Linked DNA regions of Schizosaccharomyces pombe. The gene in region 2 interacts genetically with the main gene of each other region. Each region holds a gene or a part of one and is shown on either strand. Other genes may lie near its edges.

Evidence for each region. A genetic interaction does not mean that the proteins touch.
Region 1: mutations in sap114 (region 2) and idp1 together harm fitness more than expected from each alone (negative genetic interaction), as found in Schizosaccharomyces pombe (one large-scale study listed by BioGRID).
Region 3: mutations in sap114 (region 2) and cbm1 together harm fitness more than expected from each alone (negative genetic interaction), as found in Schizosaccharomyces pombe (one large-scale study listed by BioGRID).

The regions. Positions count from the first base shown.
Region 1 is NC_003424.3:3,228,157-3,233,476, reverse strand, and holds idp1 (isocitrate dehydrogenase Idp1), read right to left. Parts: upstream 2,098-5,320; 5' UTR 1,942-2,097; coding exon 622-1,941; 3' UTR 501-621; downstream 1-500. Other genes in the region: cbc1 (nuclear cap-binding complex large subunit), read right to left, coding at 2,553-4,644, 4,694-4,944; tda3 (FAD-dependent amino acid oxidase), read right to left, coding at 5,285-5,320.
Region 2 is NC_003424.3:1,170,420-1,176,997, reverse strand, and holds sap114 (U2 snRNP-associated protein Sap114), read left to right. Parts: upstream 1-2,549; 5' UTR 2,550-2,842; coding exon 2,843-2,969; intron 2,970-3,018; coding exon 3,019-3,325; intron 3,326-3,388; coding exon 3,389-3,705; intron 3,706-3,790; coding exon 3,791-4,165; intron 4,166-4,208; coding exon 4,209-4,528; 3' UTR 4,529-4,647; downstream 4,648-6,578. Other genes in the region: ept1 (CDP-alcohol phosphatidyltransferase class-I family protein), read right to left, coding at 1,217-2,240, 2,291-2,427; cardiolipin synthase/ hydrolase fusion protein Crd1, read left to right, coding at 4,872-4,999, 5,042-5,098, 5,142-5,636, 5,728-6,494, 6,537-6,578. UniProt on the Schizosaccharomyces pombe protein: Involved in pre-mRNA splicing. May be involved in endoplasmic reticulum-associated protein degradation (ERAD) and required for growth at low and high temperatures.
Region 3 is NC_003424.3:2,934,616-2,939,318, forward strand, and holds cbm1 (cellulose-binding domain-containing protein), read right to left. Parts: upstream 1,639-4,703; 5' UTR 1,489-1,638; coding exon 895-1,488; 3' UTR 501-894; downstream 1-500. Other genes in the region: Cu(2+) amine oxidase Cao1, read left to right, coding at 1-320.

The DNA of each region.
Region 1 (5,320 bases), 2.1 Mb from region 2:
GAGCTAAGAACAAAGGCTTACTTTATTTATCAGTTTAACAGAAATTACAAGTAATTAAGTAGTAGCAGTTTTTAAAATGATATTTGTTACAACTTCATTGTATTCGAACATAATAGAAAGCATTTCCATAGTGATATACATTTAATGTAGTTGGGGTTTACGTCCATCAATTGTTTAGTTTATTAGCTCAGTTGTTGAATTTTAATATTAGACCTTTACCTAAATTGTTATGGCTCAATCAATTGCTAGATAAATATGTTTAAGTGGGTTTGAAGCAAAGCTTTAAAGAATCAAGATACATTTGTAGTCAATAAACGGCAAGAAATCCGAAAGATTTCAATGAATAAATGAATAATCATTCAGCTTTTTCCTTTACGTTTAAGGGGAAAAAATTGAAAAAAATTAGATAATAGTGTCATGGTCTGAATATGCATAAAAAATTTACAAAATTTCATGATTAATAGAAATGACTTCCTACACTCCACTGTTAATTGTAAAATAATATAAATGCACACACTTCAAAATAATTGTTTTAACAAAAAGTATCCTAGTAAAAACATGATTGAATAATCCAGAACTTAAACTTCAAAGACTCACTAATCAACAGGTCTAACACTAAAATTAGGCAATGTTGACCAATTCCGAATCGAGCTCGGACTTGACGGCATCCAAAAACTCGAATGTATCAACATAACCATTGGGAGACTTGCTGAGAAGGTAAAGATCCTTTGTCATAATACCCTTCTCAACGCATCGAACACAAGCATGCTCGAGGGCGTTGGCAAACTTAACTAAACGTTCGTTGCCATCTAAACGACCACGATGGGCAAGACCACGAGTCCAGGCAAAGATAGAGGCAATACTGTTGGTTGAAGTCTTCTTACCTTTCAAGTATTGCATGTAGTGACGCTGTACAGTACCATGAGCAGCCTCACTCTCAAAAGTGCGACCGTTGGGATGAATGAGGACAGAAGTCATTAGGCCTAAGGATCCATAAGCTTGGGCAACCACATCCGACATAACATCACCATCGTAATTTTTGCATGCCCAAACAAAACCACCATTGGACTTAATAGCTTGGGCTACCATGTCATCAATTAGACGATGTTGATACCATAAACCTAGTTCCTCAAACTTTTGCTTGTAATCAGATTCATATACTTCTTGGAATGTATCCTTAAATCTACCATCATATTTTTTCAAAATTGTATTCTTAGTGGAAAGATAAAGTGGCATTTTCTTTTGCAAAGCCATTTGGAAAGAACTGTGAGCAAATCCACGAATAGAGTCGTCAGTGTTGTACATAGACATAGCTACACCACTACCGTTGAACTCGTAAACATTGTATGTTTCTTTAGCAGAAGGATTACCTTTAGGGGTGAATGAAAGTTCCAACTTACCGGGGCCTGAAGCTACCAAGTCCGTTGACTTGTATTGATCTCCAAAGGCATGACGCCCGATACAAATAGGGTTCGTCCATCCAGGAATATACTTGGGAATGTTTTTGATTAAAATGGGCTCCCGAAATACTGTACCATTCAAAATGTTACGAATGGTACCATTGGGAGACTTCCACATCTTCTTGAGGTTATACTCTTTCACACGAGCCTCATCAGGAGTAATGGTGGCACATTTGATACCGACATCATTTTTGAGGATAGCTTTGGCTGCATCCACAGTAATTTGGTCGTTTGTCTTATCGCGAGCTTCGATTCCAAGGTCATAATAATCCAATTTAATGTCCATATATGGGAGAACCAACTTTTCACGAATGATCTTCCAAATCACTCTCGTCATCTCATCACCATCCATTTCAACGACTGGGTTTTTAACAGTGATCTTTTGAAAAGATTTGCTTGAAGCCATACGCATATTCATGAAACCACGGCCTGCGGCAGCCAACTTGAAAGGTGCCTTTACGGCAGCACGTACTTCCAACATATTGTGTCAGTTTTTTTATCCTTTAAAGTAAATGAAATATTCGACGAAGCTAAGTTGAGAAGGAGTAGCTGTGCAAATGTCCCTTAAATCCTAGTTCTATCCACCAAACTGCCTCTGTTCCTCACTACTTCTTACAATAGCACAAAGTGGTTGGTTAAGTGTAAGTTACTGATGGCAGTAGTGATTTTGTTACATTTTAGCAATCCTTTCGTTAAACTGAGAAAAGATTTAGTCACTTCTGATATCGGAGATGTGAGTGAACATTTCGCTTATCCATTCGCTCACATAGTATGACACTACGCAAAACTAGAACCGACAAGTCGATCGTAAAATATCTTATCTTTAGATATCCGTTACCTCTGATAGATCTGATAACCCTGTTACCTATAAAATTGAAATCTTCGTTTCTAGTAACTTAACTGTGAAGTGCAGCAGCGTCCTACAAGTGCTTATGAAAATGGGACGTTATAATTAAATATTTAATATAAGCTATATCCACGTTCAAACGTTGTAGCAGATTGACAACGTCGTGATTACCAGTCGAGTTCTTCAGTTTAATCTTTTTGATATCAAAACAACACTTTCTTCATTTTTGTTATAGACTACTTTCTTTATTTTTCCTCATTAGTTGCATCAGCTGCTGTTTGATTATTTTCTGATGGCTGCTCATCTACTGCGTCGACGGGTTGCATTTTTGTGTCTTCCTGTTCCTCACTGGTATTTTCTTGAACAGGCTCGTTTGCTTCTTCTATCGTGTCCTTTTTAACAGAGAGGAAATTTGATTCCACATATTTTAACATAAGGTTAAGCCAATGAGATACCCATATATTTTCAGCATTTTCGGAAATAAGGGCGCGCAAAGCTGACAATAGTAAATTCGTGACAATTTCCTTTTCCTCATTCGCTTCATTGATTAGCGAAGAGTCTTCTTTGTTAGAAACCGAACGCCGCAATCTAGCTGCTAATTTATTAAAAGTGGTGTTAACAAGTGACCACGTATAACTACGAGACCATATAGTCACGTCTTGCTTGATCAACCACTCAATAATAGAGGTAATACTAATTATAGAGTAGTTCAGCATTTTATCTAGCCACATAACTGCGTTGAACGGTTGTAATTTCCAAAATGAAAAAAGTTCATCAACAACCTCTATTTCGGAATCTAATGATTTTCGAGAAAAATGTTTCAATGTATTAAGATGTTTCTCGAACACGTTCAATGCGTGCGAAAACGATCTCGAACCCAAGCTATAAGCACAAGACATAACTAATCGGACAGCAGATGTCTCGGAGTTTTGAATCTCCTCGCTCTGCAAAATAATGTCAAGTTCTTCTAACGGTTTATGTAATCTCAATGCTTCGATAATTTGACTTGACTGTTGATATAGCGGATGAGTCTCATTTTCGTACACGAAATTGGGACCCGACGGTTGTTCGCCAAGCAAACAACGTAACTCTTCAGGGAGTGAGTCAGAAATTCTTGTGTAATAGCTTAAAATAAGTTCCCTAGTAATAGTTTCCCGCATAAAAACTTTTTTTGGATGAAGATCGTCCAGCTCAACGTCAGGAATCCACTCATTCCACTTCCAGTGAAAGTTGAAATTACTAAGGTGATGTGAAAACCAGTCAATAAATCGATCAAGTGTTTGTAAAGGTAAATCAGAAGACATGGTATACATTAGCCGAATGACCCTTCCAAAAGTTGGAGCCAAAATTTTAGGAGCGATACGGCAGCATTCAATCAAAAGCGAATGATAATAGACAGGTTTATACGTAGTATTCTGTGAACCAAGAAGCTCACCCAAAACAGCTTCAACTATGATATCTTCTGCTTTCCAACGTGATTCCGATGGATCTAAATTTGGTAATTCATTTACTGGAGTACCACGAAGAGCAAAAGTTTTGTAGGTAAAATAAACATCTAAATCTGTAAGAACTTGAGCAGCCTCAACTCGGTTAAATTCCAAATGGTTTATAACATCCACACTTATATCACGAAATATGCTGGCTGCAACGTCGGAAGCGTCAGGAGTCGTGCGAATTTCAAAGTTATTAAAAAGCTCAAAAAATCTCTTGAAGGAAGGTAGCTCATTTTGCTGAGGAGTGGGCTGAAACGTCCATTCAGGAATACTTGGGCTAACCGGAACAATATGAACGAAATCAGATTCAAAAAACTTCCAGGGTTGAGATATATAAGGAAAAGTAAAGTCGTTTTCCCGAGATAGAATTAGTTGTTTATAGAGTAAGTCCAATTCCTCCTCTGAAAGATTGTCATGTATTGAAAGGGGATTACTTAGAGTTATCGAAGATTTCCTATGACGAACGTAAATCTCACATTGATCCAGTATCTCATTAGCAAAATCCTTTTTACCGAGATCGTTGTTAGCTGCGATGAAATATGGAAGGTTTATCAAAATTATGCGCAGGAAATTATCTCCCCAGACACTGGGTTTGGTTTCTTTTGAGATAGCGTCAGCCAGTAATGAAAATAGTGGCTTAAGGGTACCTGGTTGAAGTGCAAATGACATGCAAATGAGCATTCGTAGATCGACTTTAGCCTCGTAATAAAGAAAGGAGTTTAAATTCGTAAAATACTGTAAACAAAAATACGCAGCTGCTTTTTCTAAGATTAAAGGAACCCTTAATGAGGCTCTTATAATTAATGTAGCCAAATGAGGTATTTTGACTGGAATGATAAATGCACTAAGGATTAAATTAGTTTTCTGAAGGGACAGTATAAATTATCACTTACGTTGTCTGAATGCAATCTAAGATAGTTGAAATGGTTTCAGGATCATTAGCTTCACGACTAAGAGACATAGCAACATAATTAATGTCATCAGCAGCTACTGAATTTCCTCGAGGATCCGCCAAAAAGGTAATATCCTTTTTTATACGCGCTGCAAGTAGCTCTTGAGAGTTTCCTCTATGGGGACGAAATCCATAATTCTCTCCCTCTCTCGTCCTCTTTCTGGGTCGAGTTGATCCCCGATAAGAAGACATTTTGTGAGGAATGTTAGTGTCTTACTGTTGTTGGCGTATAGCAGAATTGTAAAAACACGAGCAAGTGTTCTCAAGTAACAATCAACTTAGAGGTAACGAATGGTATACTAAGTCGAGATGGAAATTGTAAAACAAAAAAAAAGAAAATCGATTTTCCAATGCGATAAAAACGAAAACCTTAATAAATATGATTAGAAAATTTTACAACACTGTAATATTCTATTTCGGTAAAGGAATAAGCATCCATTCTGCTTCTATATTTTCACCTTTCAGTGAATGAGTCCTTCGTTTTTTTTGACAAACAATTAAAACAAAAATTAGAGGATATAATTTGAAATCCTCATTCACCGAGATTTAAGTGAAAAGGATCTGTGTT
Region 2 (6,578 bases):
TGGATAGTTAAATCAAATATTCCCGAAATTTATGATCTAAGAATATAAAATGACTTGTTTTAGGTGGTGGGGAAGTGCAAGTGTGAGTAAAGGATTAAAGAAATAAATCTATGTGTCTCTAAAATCTCAAAATATTAATATCAAAATTCCCTTCAATGCGAAAAAATTAACACTTTATACGCTACTATGCTTCAACTGGTTTAAATACAAAATAAATAAACCAAGAATATACTAGTAAACGTTTCGTTTCGTTACGTTATGTCTCGTTTTCGTTTCGCTATTTCGTAAAAGTTATGAGTGTAGCGGAAAAAGGGAGCTTGAAGACGATTTAATAATGCTGGCCTTGTCTCTCTATATATACTATATAACCACCAATTTGCATGACGAAGTGCCCCGCACGTAACGGAAGTGATATTATGCTGAAACAGTGAATAAACACATCTAGATAACCGTAGAACCGTTTTTCATACCCTTCAACTAATTACGAAATGTTGCCGATATGAACAATTAAATTAAATATCAGCTTGCCTTGCCGAAGATGACCTCAATCCATTTTCCTAGTCAAAGAAAAATTTCGCTGACCTTTTGTAGATCATATGCTAGAAAAGTAGTAAAATCGCAGCGTAAACTTGAGTCACCTTTATGTAGCAAAAGATTGCCTTAAAAGGGCAAACTCTACCAATGCCCAAAGAAGCAATGGGACAGGACGATGGCTATTTATTGAAATTGTTAAATCGTTACGAACTGCCATAAGAACCTTAATTAAAAGAAGGTTGTCGAAAAGTGCTCCGGTCTGCACATGTGGAACCAGTCATCTTAGTTAGTGCAGCCCCGGTATTCCACGGTGAAAAGCAAGTTTGCAGTGTAGAAGACAAATGGACCATTTGTTCATCAGTATATACAGTTAGTTAAAAGGATACGAAAGGCTGGATCATTTAGTGAACGAAGTCGCAAGTGAAATACTTGTTCATTATTATGTTCTGGTAAAAAAACCAACTTTTATTACTACAGCAGGAAAACAAACAAAAGTAACATATTGTTGGCAGAAAACACACAACCGAAAAAAACCTGTCTACTAGGAAATGGATCATTTTGATACTTCTGATCCGTTAGATACATTGCAGAACAAAAGATCGACCGAAAGGTTATCAATGACAAAATCTCTCTGGACCCTTTTGTTCTCATCTCTATTCTGTCCAAACCATCATCATCTAGTTCAATTCTTCTTGGACTCTGGTTTGGATGGAATAGTCAAACATTTAATGCCGTACTCTTCCGTAATCATGGCAATGACATGTGCAACAAAGTTGCCGTAAACACCAATGCAAATTCCAACGTAGCAAAAAAAGTATTCCGTCTGAACGTTTTTTAATACGCCAAAAGTATAGGCGTCCACGGCATCCACCAAGAATGGAAGAATAAGCACATTCCAGTATGGGAAGGGAGATTCGGTAATGTGAGAAACAATTACCACTCCAACCGAATAAGCAAAGATAAAAGCGTTCAAGCAAAAAATAGTGAGGAAATGATGTTCAAAGAAAGCAGGATACTTGGCATAGAGTGAAAAGACAGCCATCCATTGGAGGAAATAGGGAAGGATACCACTCAATGCTTTAATCACACTTCCGTTGTTCTTTTGGACGGCTTGAAGAGCATTTCGTAAACTTTGTAAGACATTCAATAGCAGGGCAAATGCCATAAAGTTGTACAAGCATGATCCATATGTGTAGTATGGCAGAAAGGAACGTACAAATCCCCATGACTCGGGAGTGGGATGTAGCTTGAGCCAGAAAGAATCACCCTTAATAGCTGTAAGGGCAAATAGTCCAATAACCATTACAATTCCTTCGACAGGACCCGAGAAGTATGAAAGGTACAAAGTACCCGTATGGTATTCTTCCCAAGTAGAGATGTAAAAGTATAATAAGCTGGCAAATTGAGTAAGGATTGAGCTAAACATATCTAGTTGCAGCAGTTCAATCGTCAGTAAAACTTCAAAGCTCGTATTGATGGCGTCTACTCCATGGTCAAATAATTGACCTAATGGAGATGATGTGCCAGTACGACGCGCTTGCGAGCCATCAATAGCGTCAAAACTTTGGTAAAGAAAAAGGCCAATCGCCCAAGAAGCATACACCCATGATGGGAAAGCATCCATCTCATAATGATACTTGTACACAAGCATAGTAAGGATATTGATAACAACGAATCCAAGCCCGATCAAAGTAATCAAATTAGGTCTAAGTAAAGAGTTAGTAAGAATAAGCAAGCAAACGGGTGTAGATCATACGCCATAGACATGGGAATCACCTTCAAAAGTTGATTCCACCAGTACGGCTTCAAAATATATTTTGAAAGAAGTGAGTTATCAATCGCACTATATTTATAGTTATGAAGATTCTTTAACTGCTTCCGGTTTAACTGCATCTTGAGAAACTACCTGGATATCCTTTCCTTATTCTCCGATAAAGTACTGGTAGAGGGTAAACATGTTACGCGTCTTAGTGTGTAGAAATAAAGGCAAAGCAACGAATGCAGATAAACCTTCTACCGATAAATAAATGTATAATGTAGCTTGCAAAAAAACTTGCACTATAACTATCTTTTAAATTCTAAATTGTAAGGATAATTGTTGCTATCAACCGTTTTGATGTTATTTGTCCATCCGCAGTGGATTACGGATGCCCTAGGCAACAACTGTTTAGAGCAGCAAGGTCGCCCTAAACTTTTATAAACTTCTATTGAATTTCAATAGTCCTTTCTTTTCGCTTGTCCATCGCTTCATCTGCCTTGTGCGACAAGTGTCCTTCCACCACTACCTTTTTCTGCATAAGTCTCACATATGAGTTCTTTAATGGAATTCCAAGACAGAAATACGACAAATAATGAAACAGAACACCAAAAAAGCATCACTGATCAAAGTTCATCGGTCCCTGCAGGGGTAATTTTACCTCCTCCAGCAATTCGAGGTGAGTCATAGTAATTAGTACAATAGACGCGCCTGCTAACGTAGCTTAGAAATAATTGATAAATCTGCTAGTTACGTTGCCAGAAATGGCCCAGCTTTTGAAGAAAAAATTCGCCAGAATGAACAGGCAAATACTAAGTTTGCTTTCTTGCATGCTAATGACCCCTACCACCCATATTATCAGCACAAATTAACTGAAGCGAGGGAGGGAAAATTGAAGAGTCATGCCACAGGCTTGTCAACCCAAAAAACATCCACTTTGGCTCGTCCCATTCAAAAACCTATAGAGGCAACTATTCCTGCTCCCTCACCGTACTTGTTTTCAGAACCACTTCCTTCTATTTCATCACTAGATTTGTAAGTATCATCTCAACTATTATTTCCTTCTTCTTTGAAGTTGCTAATTAACCGTGAATCTAGAGACGTGCTCCGTTTAACTGCGCGATATGCGGCAGTTCGTGGTTCTTCTTTCTTAGTGAGTCTTTCTCAAAAAGAGTGGAATAACACTCAATTTGATTTTTTAAAGCCAAATAATGCATTGTACCCTTACTTTATGCGTATAGTTCAACAATATACTTCTCTAATTAGAGAGCCCATTTCTTCGCCAGAACAGGAGCTTCGTGAAAATGTGAGAGACCCTTATAGCTTACTTTCTAAAATTCAGCCGCGTGTAAGGTGGCAATCGCATATGGAGAGCCAAAAGAAAAAACAAAAGGAAGAAGCCGAAAAAGAGAAGTGTAAGTGTATATTGAGATGCAAAAACTGGTTCAGGAAGTCCAATATTCTTCATTTACCATTTGAATTGGAACTAACTTGTCTTAGTGGAATATGCACAAATTGATTGGAACGATTTTGTCGTTGTTGAAGTGATTCAATTCACAAAGTCCGATGAACATGCAAAATTAGCTAAACCTACGAATTTAGCGGATTTACAAACTGCTACTTTAGAACAAAAGTCTGCCATGTTTACCATGCCTGACCAAAATTACACTATTGAGGAAGCTCCTCCTACAGCGGAGCCTTGGGAGCCCATAAGTGCGCCTAAAAAACAAGAATTTGGTGTTTCTCTTCCTCCATCACTTGCTTCTCCAGAAAAAGGAGGTATTTCTTCAACTACTTCAGTTTCTCCTGCCGCACAAGCTTCTCCCGTTTTGTCTACCACTACTCAGCCGAAGGTACAAAAGCCAGTACCAAAGGGTAAGTTTATATTCCTTATTGTAACTTTACTGACCCTGTTTAGCTTTCCAGCCCAAAGTTCCGATGGAGATATCGCCTTTCTCAGGTGAATTGGTTCCCGCTACAGAACTAGAAGAGCATATGCGTCTAAAATTACTTGACCCTCGCTGGCAGGAACAGCGCAAAGTTGAAGAATCTAGGAAATCAACTTTAAATTTAGAGAACGTGAACGTTGCTGCAAATATGAAAAGATTGGTTAGTCAACGGACTGATTTGTTTGACGTCCAAAACGGGGTAGAAATCTCTCAAGAGGAAATCGAACGAAGAAAACGTGCTGCTACTCAGAGCGCTTGGGGAGCAACTCCCACAAATAAACGCCGGTAGATTTCATAGAACTTTTTTTAATTTTGTTAATTTTTACTTTATTTTATTTAAGCTTCGTAGGACGCCGAAATCTATTAGTTAATTTGCTTCTACAACTCGTGAAATAAATAAGATGTAAATAAACCAGGTGTTGTAGACTTTCTCCAACTAATTGAGAATACAAATATTCTTTATTATAAAAAGTCCAATACACTAAACAAAGCTGGATTTTAACTTAGGAAATGCGGGTCTGGTTTTCATACCCGCCCACCGTCATCCTTAAGTTGTCATACCACGTAACCGCACAAACCTCTTAATTTTTTACTTCTTACATTGTTGATTCTTCATTTATCGGCTTTAATAAATGCTACATACTATCAATTATAGATCTTGGCATTTGGCTGCCAGGCAGTTAGGGCGTTCAACGTTTCGAAAGTTTACGACCGAATCGTCTACTAAAAGCCCTATTGCAGATGTTTGTTTCGCATTTGAGTAATACAGTAATTAATGATCGATTTTTGAAACTAACCAAAGCAGTATTGATGGAGTTTTAATTAGAGGAGGAAGAGGTTTGAAAGAAGGAACGAAGACGTAAGCTTAACTATGAACTACCATTTTCAAACTAACTTGTAAGTTTGAAATTTTTGCAAAAAAATAATATACCTTTTATTCTGTTAACGAATGGAGGTGGTATGCATGAGAGTGTTAGAGCTCAGCGTCTTTCCAAGACATTGAGCGTAAGTTTAACAGAGGATGATTTTTGTCAATCACATACCCCCTTTCGCGCTCTTGCGGATAAGTATAAGCACGTCTTGGTTCTTGGAGGAAAAGACAACAGCGTCCGTGAAACTGCTGAAAAGTATGGGTTTAAAAGTGTTATCAATGAACTCGATGTCATCGCAAAGTTAGGAACTCCATTTTGGCCTTTCACATCTTTTAACGAAGAAGATATTAAAGATGCAAAAGACTTTGACGTTACTAGACCCATTGAAGCAGTTTTCACTTATGTCGATCCTGTCCGACTTGGTTTGGATCTTCAATTGGTGATGGAATTGGGCCAGTCGAAGAATGGTGTTTTAGGAACAGTTTCGAAGACAGCAAATGAAGGTCCCGATATTTACTTTTCTAAGTAAGTTATTTCTTGGAAAGTATCTTTTGTGTAAAAATATTTTTGCAAGCTGTACTCGAATACTATGAGTGAATGCTAACAGCTTTTATAGTGCGGATTTAATTTGGCCTAATGAGTATCCTCTTCCCCGCTTAGGTCAAGGAGCTTTTGCAATTTGCTGTGAAAGTGTTTTTAAAGAACTTACTGGAAAGGACTTAAGAAATACGAAATATGGAAAACCTCATAAGCTGACTTATGATTATGCTAAAAACATTTTAATGAAGAAGCATAAAACTTTAGGAATCACCAATCCTCCCAAGGAAATTTTCATGGTTGGTGATAACCCCGAAAGTGATATTCGTGGTGCGAATAATTACGGTTGGACTAGTATTTTAGTACGTACTGGTATCTTCCAAGGAGACAATAGCCCTAAATATTCTGCGAAGCACGTTTCTGATAATGTATGGGAAGGTGTGCGCTGGGCTCTATCCAAACACGTTCCTGCTGCCAAATTGAACAAGTCAATGGGCGAGGTTCGTGGATTTCACACCTCTTCTCGTGTTTTAAACACTGTGACAAAAAGTAATAACAGTAAGCCTATTCAAAGGCCTTTGCGTGAGAATATTTTTACCTTGCCAAACTTGCTGACATTCTCAAGGCTCCTTTCAGCTCCATTAATTGCTTATCTTTACATTTATGATTATACTAAAGCTGCTGCTTGCTTTTTTTTATATGCTGGATTTACGGATTTGGTTGATGGGTATATAGCTCGAAAGTTTGATTTAGGCAGCATTGCTGGGACAGTACTTGATCCGTTAGCCGATAAAACGTTAATGACTTGTTTGACAATATGTTTAGCGGTGCGTGAGACTATGCCATGTATGCTTTTTGTGTTTATTAGTAATATCTAACCTTATCTAGTAACTCTTGCTAGCTTGATTATTGGAAGGGATGTGTTGCTCG
Region 3 (4,703 bases), 1.8 Mb from region 2:
AGCCAGACGCTTCGGTTGATAACACGGATATCGTTGTTTGGCACACTTTTGGAATTACTCACTTCCCTGCTCCTGAAGATTTCCCATTGATGCCTGCAGAACCCATTCGTCTTTTATTACGTCCTCGTAATTTCTTCCTTCGCAACCCAGCTCTTGACGTACCCCCTTCGAAGAATGTTACTACCTCTGAGGTGAAGCAGGCACACCATCATGGTAATTTACACATGATGGATATGATGAAGAGTCTAACAGATGCCACTTCTGAATTTGCATTTGGAGAGAAATTTTGCGAAAAACATAAAGGTGATCACTTCTTTTAGAGATTCAGATATTGATTGAATGACCCGAAACCATTTTGGAACGTAGATGTACATATAATGAGAAAGCCATGAATCAGCTTTTTATTGGAATAAGAAGTGATGTTTAGTTTTTGGTTAATCAGTGTATTAAATACTAGCTAACTGTCAAATCCAACAATACATATATCATTATTCCTTAAATTTTCTTCTTAGTATTTATTATTGACGAAGTATTGAATGTGCTTAATCTTTACGAAATTGATTATACTTAAAACGTTTTATTAATATCTTCTACTAAGGCAAGCATAATCTATCCGCATTGAACTTAGTCAAGGATAATGCCTTTCCCAACCGAATTTAAAAATCAATGAGAATAACAAATATTGAAATTTCAATTGATATTGACAATAGTAATTACAGTTGTCTTCTTTTTCTAATATCCATTTTCCTAAAGCCAAAAAAAAAATAAAATAAAATAAAGTTAATTTATTCATATCCATCAAACGCGAAACATAATACACATCGTAAAATTCAATAAAATAGCTCCAAACGATTGGTATGTTGAATCGTTTACAGTTATTCTATGGCTGTCAAATTAATAGCCGGTAACATTCCAGCCAGATGATGGCAAAGCAGAAGTTGTATTGGTACTAGATAGTACAGTGGAAAAACCGCTGCTAGAGAGACTAGTGAAACTGCTTGTCGACACACTGGAAGAAATAGTGCTAGAAATAGAAGGGATTGAGGTAGTGGAGGATACAGCGCTAGGGCTGGATGAAGTCAAAGTAGTAGACGACACAAGGCTGGAGCTGGATGTAGTCGATGTGGTGGAAGAAGCAGCACTAGAGCTAGATGAAGAAGGATCGATATCAACTGGAATACATTGAGAATAATATGGACCATTGTAAATACATTCGGATCCTGGCTCACAGCAAGTTGGGCCATTGTAATTGATGCCGCCGCACTGTTGATATAACTTTGCACAGGGTCCTGTATAATCAACTGGGATACATTGCGAATACCAGGGATTTGAATAGATACAAGAACTACCTACTACACAACACGTGGGGCCATCATAGTAAATACCTCCGCAAGTCCCATATCTGGGTGAACACTGGCTTGCGCTTGTTTTGGAGACCAGAGACAAAGCTAATGTCAATACTGTCAAAAACAAACTTTGAGTAAGCATTTTAAACGAGAAAAACACAATACTAATAGACTCGGAGAGAGTAAATTTCTAAGAAAAGAATAAGTTCAAGGGTTACTTTAAAGTTGCAGAGAGATATGTTTCTATTTCTGAATACCACGACAAAACAGACTTATAGCAACAGTCGATCCTGACAGAGTCGCCTTGCCCATGACTTTTTATACATCACAGAAGTAAGACTTTCACAAACGTAGCAATACTGCAAGGCAGAAATGTAGACGTGATCACATGGTGGGCCACCAGTGTGCGAATGAAAAGACACTAAAACCTTCTAACGTTCCCATAAAACGATCCAATATTCTTTCAAATAAGATCATATTAACCTGCTCTTGCATTTCTAGACCAGGGCTCTCATGTCTAACCGTCAGATCAGGTACCCCTAAGACCGTGACTATTTGATTTTTCGAATCATACAACCTGCCTATTTTATCTTATCAAAAATTATCATACGAAAAGTGACAAGATGGTTAGACATTTGACCATTACGACTAACATCCGAAATCCGCTACAAAATACTACCTGTAAAGGTGGTTGGGATATTCACATCATTCCTCTAAGTATATTGTCTAGGTACTTTCTCAGGGAAAATGGTACATATTTATTGTGTTTGCAAAGCATCATCAACTGACATATTTTGATTTGTGAAAACACAGGGAGTATGTTAGGGGCATGCGGCAATGATTCCTGCAATTGTTATGTTATAGAACTTTGTCAAAATTGTATGGCATAAAGTTCTTTTGAACGAATTAGAATATTTAGGTCATCATCAATGTCAAAACAGCTTTACATCGGCCTTAACCTTCATTTTGCCGCGGTTAAAGAAAGTGAAGAATTGGTATTTTCTTTTATTCTAATCTATTACATTTATCATATATCGTTGATCGAATTGTGCTTTAATATTTTTTTCTTATTTTTATTTATTTTTTCTTATATATATATATGAACATGTTATTTGGGTTTTCTGCCTTTTTTTTTATTTATTTTATTATTTTTTTCTTAGGTCTTTTCCAAGGATCGAAACTTCGGCAGAAGTAGCGCATCATACGGTACTAAAAGTGGGCTGGCACAATCGACATTTTTTCAAAAAATAGCTGCCGATGAACCAATTAACAATTTTTATAGTAAAAATTACAATGCAAGTAGTATATGAAAACCATTAACATTAAGTGAATATTGTAAATTATAAACACATTCAGAATTAGGCTATAAAAAAGTTATAGTGTTCACCAGAACATTACTTCGTTAATATTTATCAAGGGAAAGCACTCTATTATATGATAAATAGATTTCCAGTTATAAGCGATGCAATGCAGTAATTGGGTTTTCCGAGATGCTTTACGTTTCCTTTTAAGACAAATTGAATTCAACATAGGTAGATGCATTCATGTAGGAGTACAGCTAACTCTTGCATTGGTTTTTAAAAAGCATAAAAAAGAAAAAGAAAAAGATATTGCTAATTATTACAATCGCCAAATTCATATAAATGCAAAAAAATAGTGAGTGCGAAAGAAATTCACTAAATAGAAAAAAATATTTTTTTGAGCATAATAAATAAGAGATTGAAATACTTCACTGTGAGTAAATAAGTTCGCAATGTAAATTAGAATTGAAATTATATATCTAATCAAAGACGTTTCATATGGAAGAACAGTGTTGAAAAACACTCAACTTCTTTCTGCTTGTCTAATTTTTTGGTTACGAATTTATCAATTTATTTTTATTTTATTTTTTTAATTTTTAGTAATGATTTTTAAAAGGTGGAAACCCTTGTTTACATTTTAGGATGTGAAAACAATACATAACTTATACTAGCACATCAGAAATTTTGTATCGACCGAGGGTAAAATTTCCTTCTTCTTATTCATTACTCTACAAAGGATTCCTCACTTTCTCTTGAAAGCGATTCACTTTGGATTTTTATACAGCTAGAATAGTATTTCAATTCAACAGCATAATAGATTTTGCGCATCCGAAGGAGCTAGTTGGATTCCAATAACTACCAATTTACAAGAGTAGAAATAACCACATTGAATTTGAGAGAGGCAAACCTGCAATCTATTTGAAAGCACTCTTTGATTTTATCTCAAGTCGAATGTGAAGATTCAATACCCATTGAAAGTTGGCCGTGAAATTCGCTTAAAATTTTCATCGCAGAGAAGAAACAAGGATGATATTGCGATAATGCAAAAGCTAGAAATTTTAGCACATACTAAGAACTTAATTCTTTCTGGTTATTTTTAGATTTCTTTTTTGACTATATTGCGTCCTTAAAATTTTCTAAATCATCTAGATAAGGCGAAAATTAACAATGGTTGCTCATTTTTAGTTCATCGGATAACTAAGGATGCGCAGTTACTTCTAAGCATCAAAGTTTGGGACTTCAAACTGTGATTAAGTGCAGCTAATTGTTATTAGAACATCACAAAACGTTTATTGAAAAAACGTATAGCATAACCGAGAAACACCTGATATAGTCCTAAATTTTTACTTTACCAACATGTGATGAATTCTTTGATTCCGTTCAGCCCAGTTGAAATTTCATTATTCCGTTTAGCCTGTTCCCCGTGCAATGTAGACCTAGTCTACGCCGGTTAGCGTTCCGAATAGATGGGCAAAAAATTTGATACTTCACAAAACACCAATTCCGGATCGACGCTTTTTAAATTGGTGGTAAGGTATCAACTATGGGGAATCGCTTGAATATTGAAAGCACAAGATAAATCTTTGTTTTATTATCTGCCACAATGTTTTCAATTCAAAGCAATTTGATGAGACACTAAGTTTTGTATATACAATTTTAATGATCTTAACAAATTACAGGAAGCGTTTTTTAACTCTAAAATTATGAAACTGAGATGCTTAGTCAGTATAATAAATATGCATCTCCATCGGAGATGCAAGAACAATAATTTGCATATTTGCGCATCAAGCTCTAGATTAAAAAAAAAAAGGGTCAAGATGGAATTATTGGACATTAAGTGGTTTACTAGCTATAGCACAAAATTTGTATAAAATACGATAGCTGACATTTCTGATCTTTCATTGATTTGCGAATCAGTTTTCCAAATCAAAGGTTTCTCGTTTCTATCACAATTTCTTTCACTAAAAATAACAGTGGCTTCAAAAAGTTGACAATATCTCATAAAATGTTATTGAGACTATTCGGTTTATGGATGTATCTGCTTCCTCATTACCCA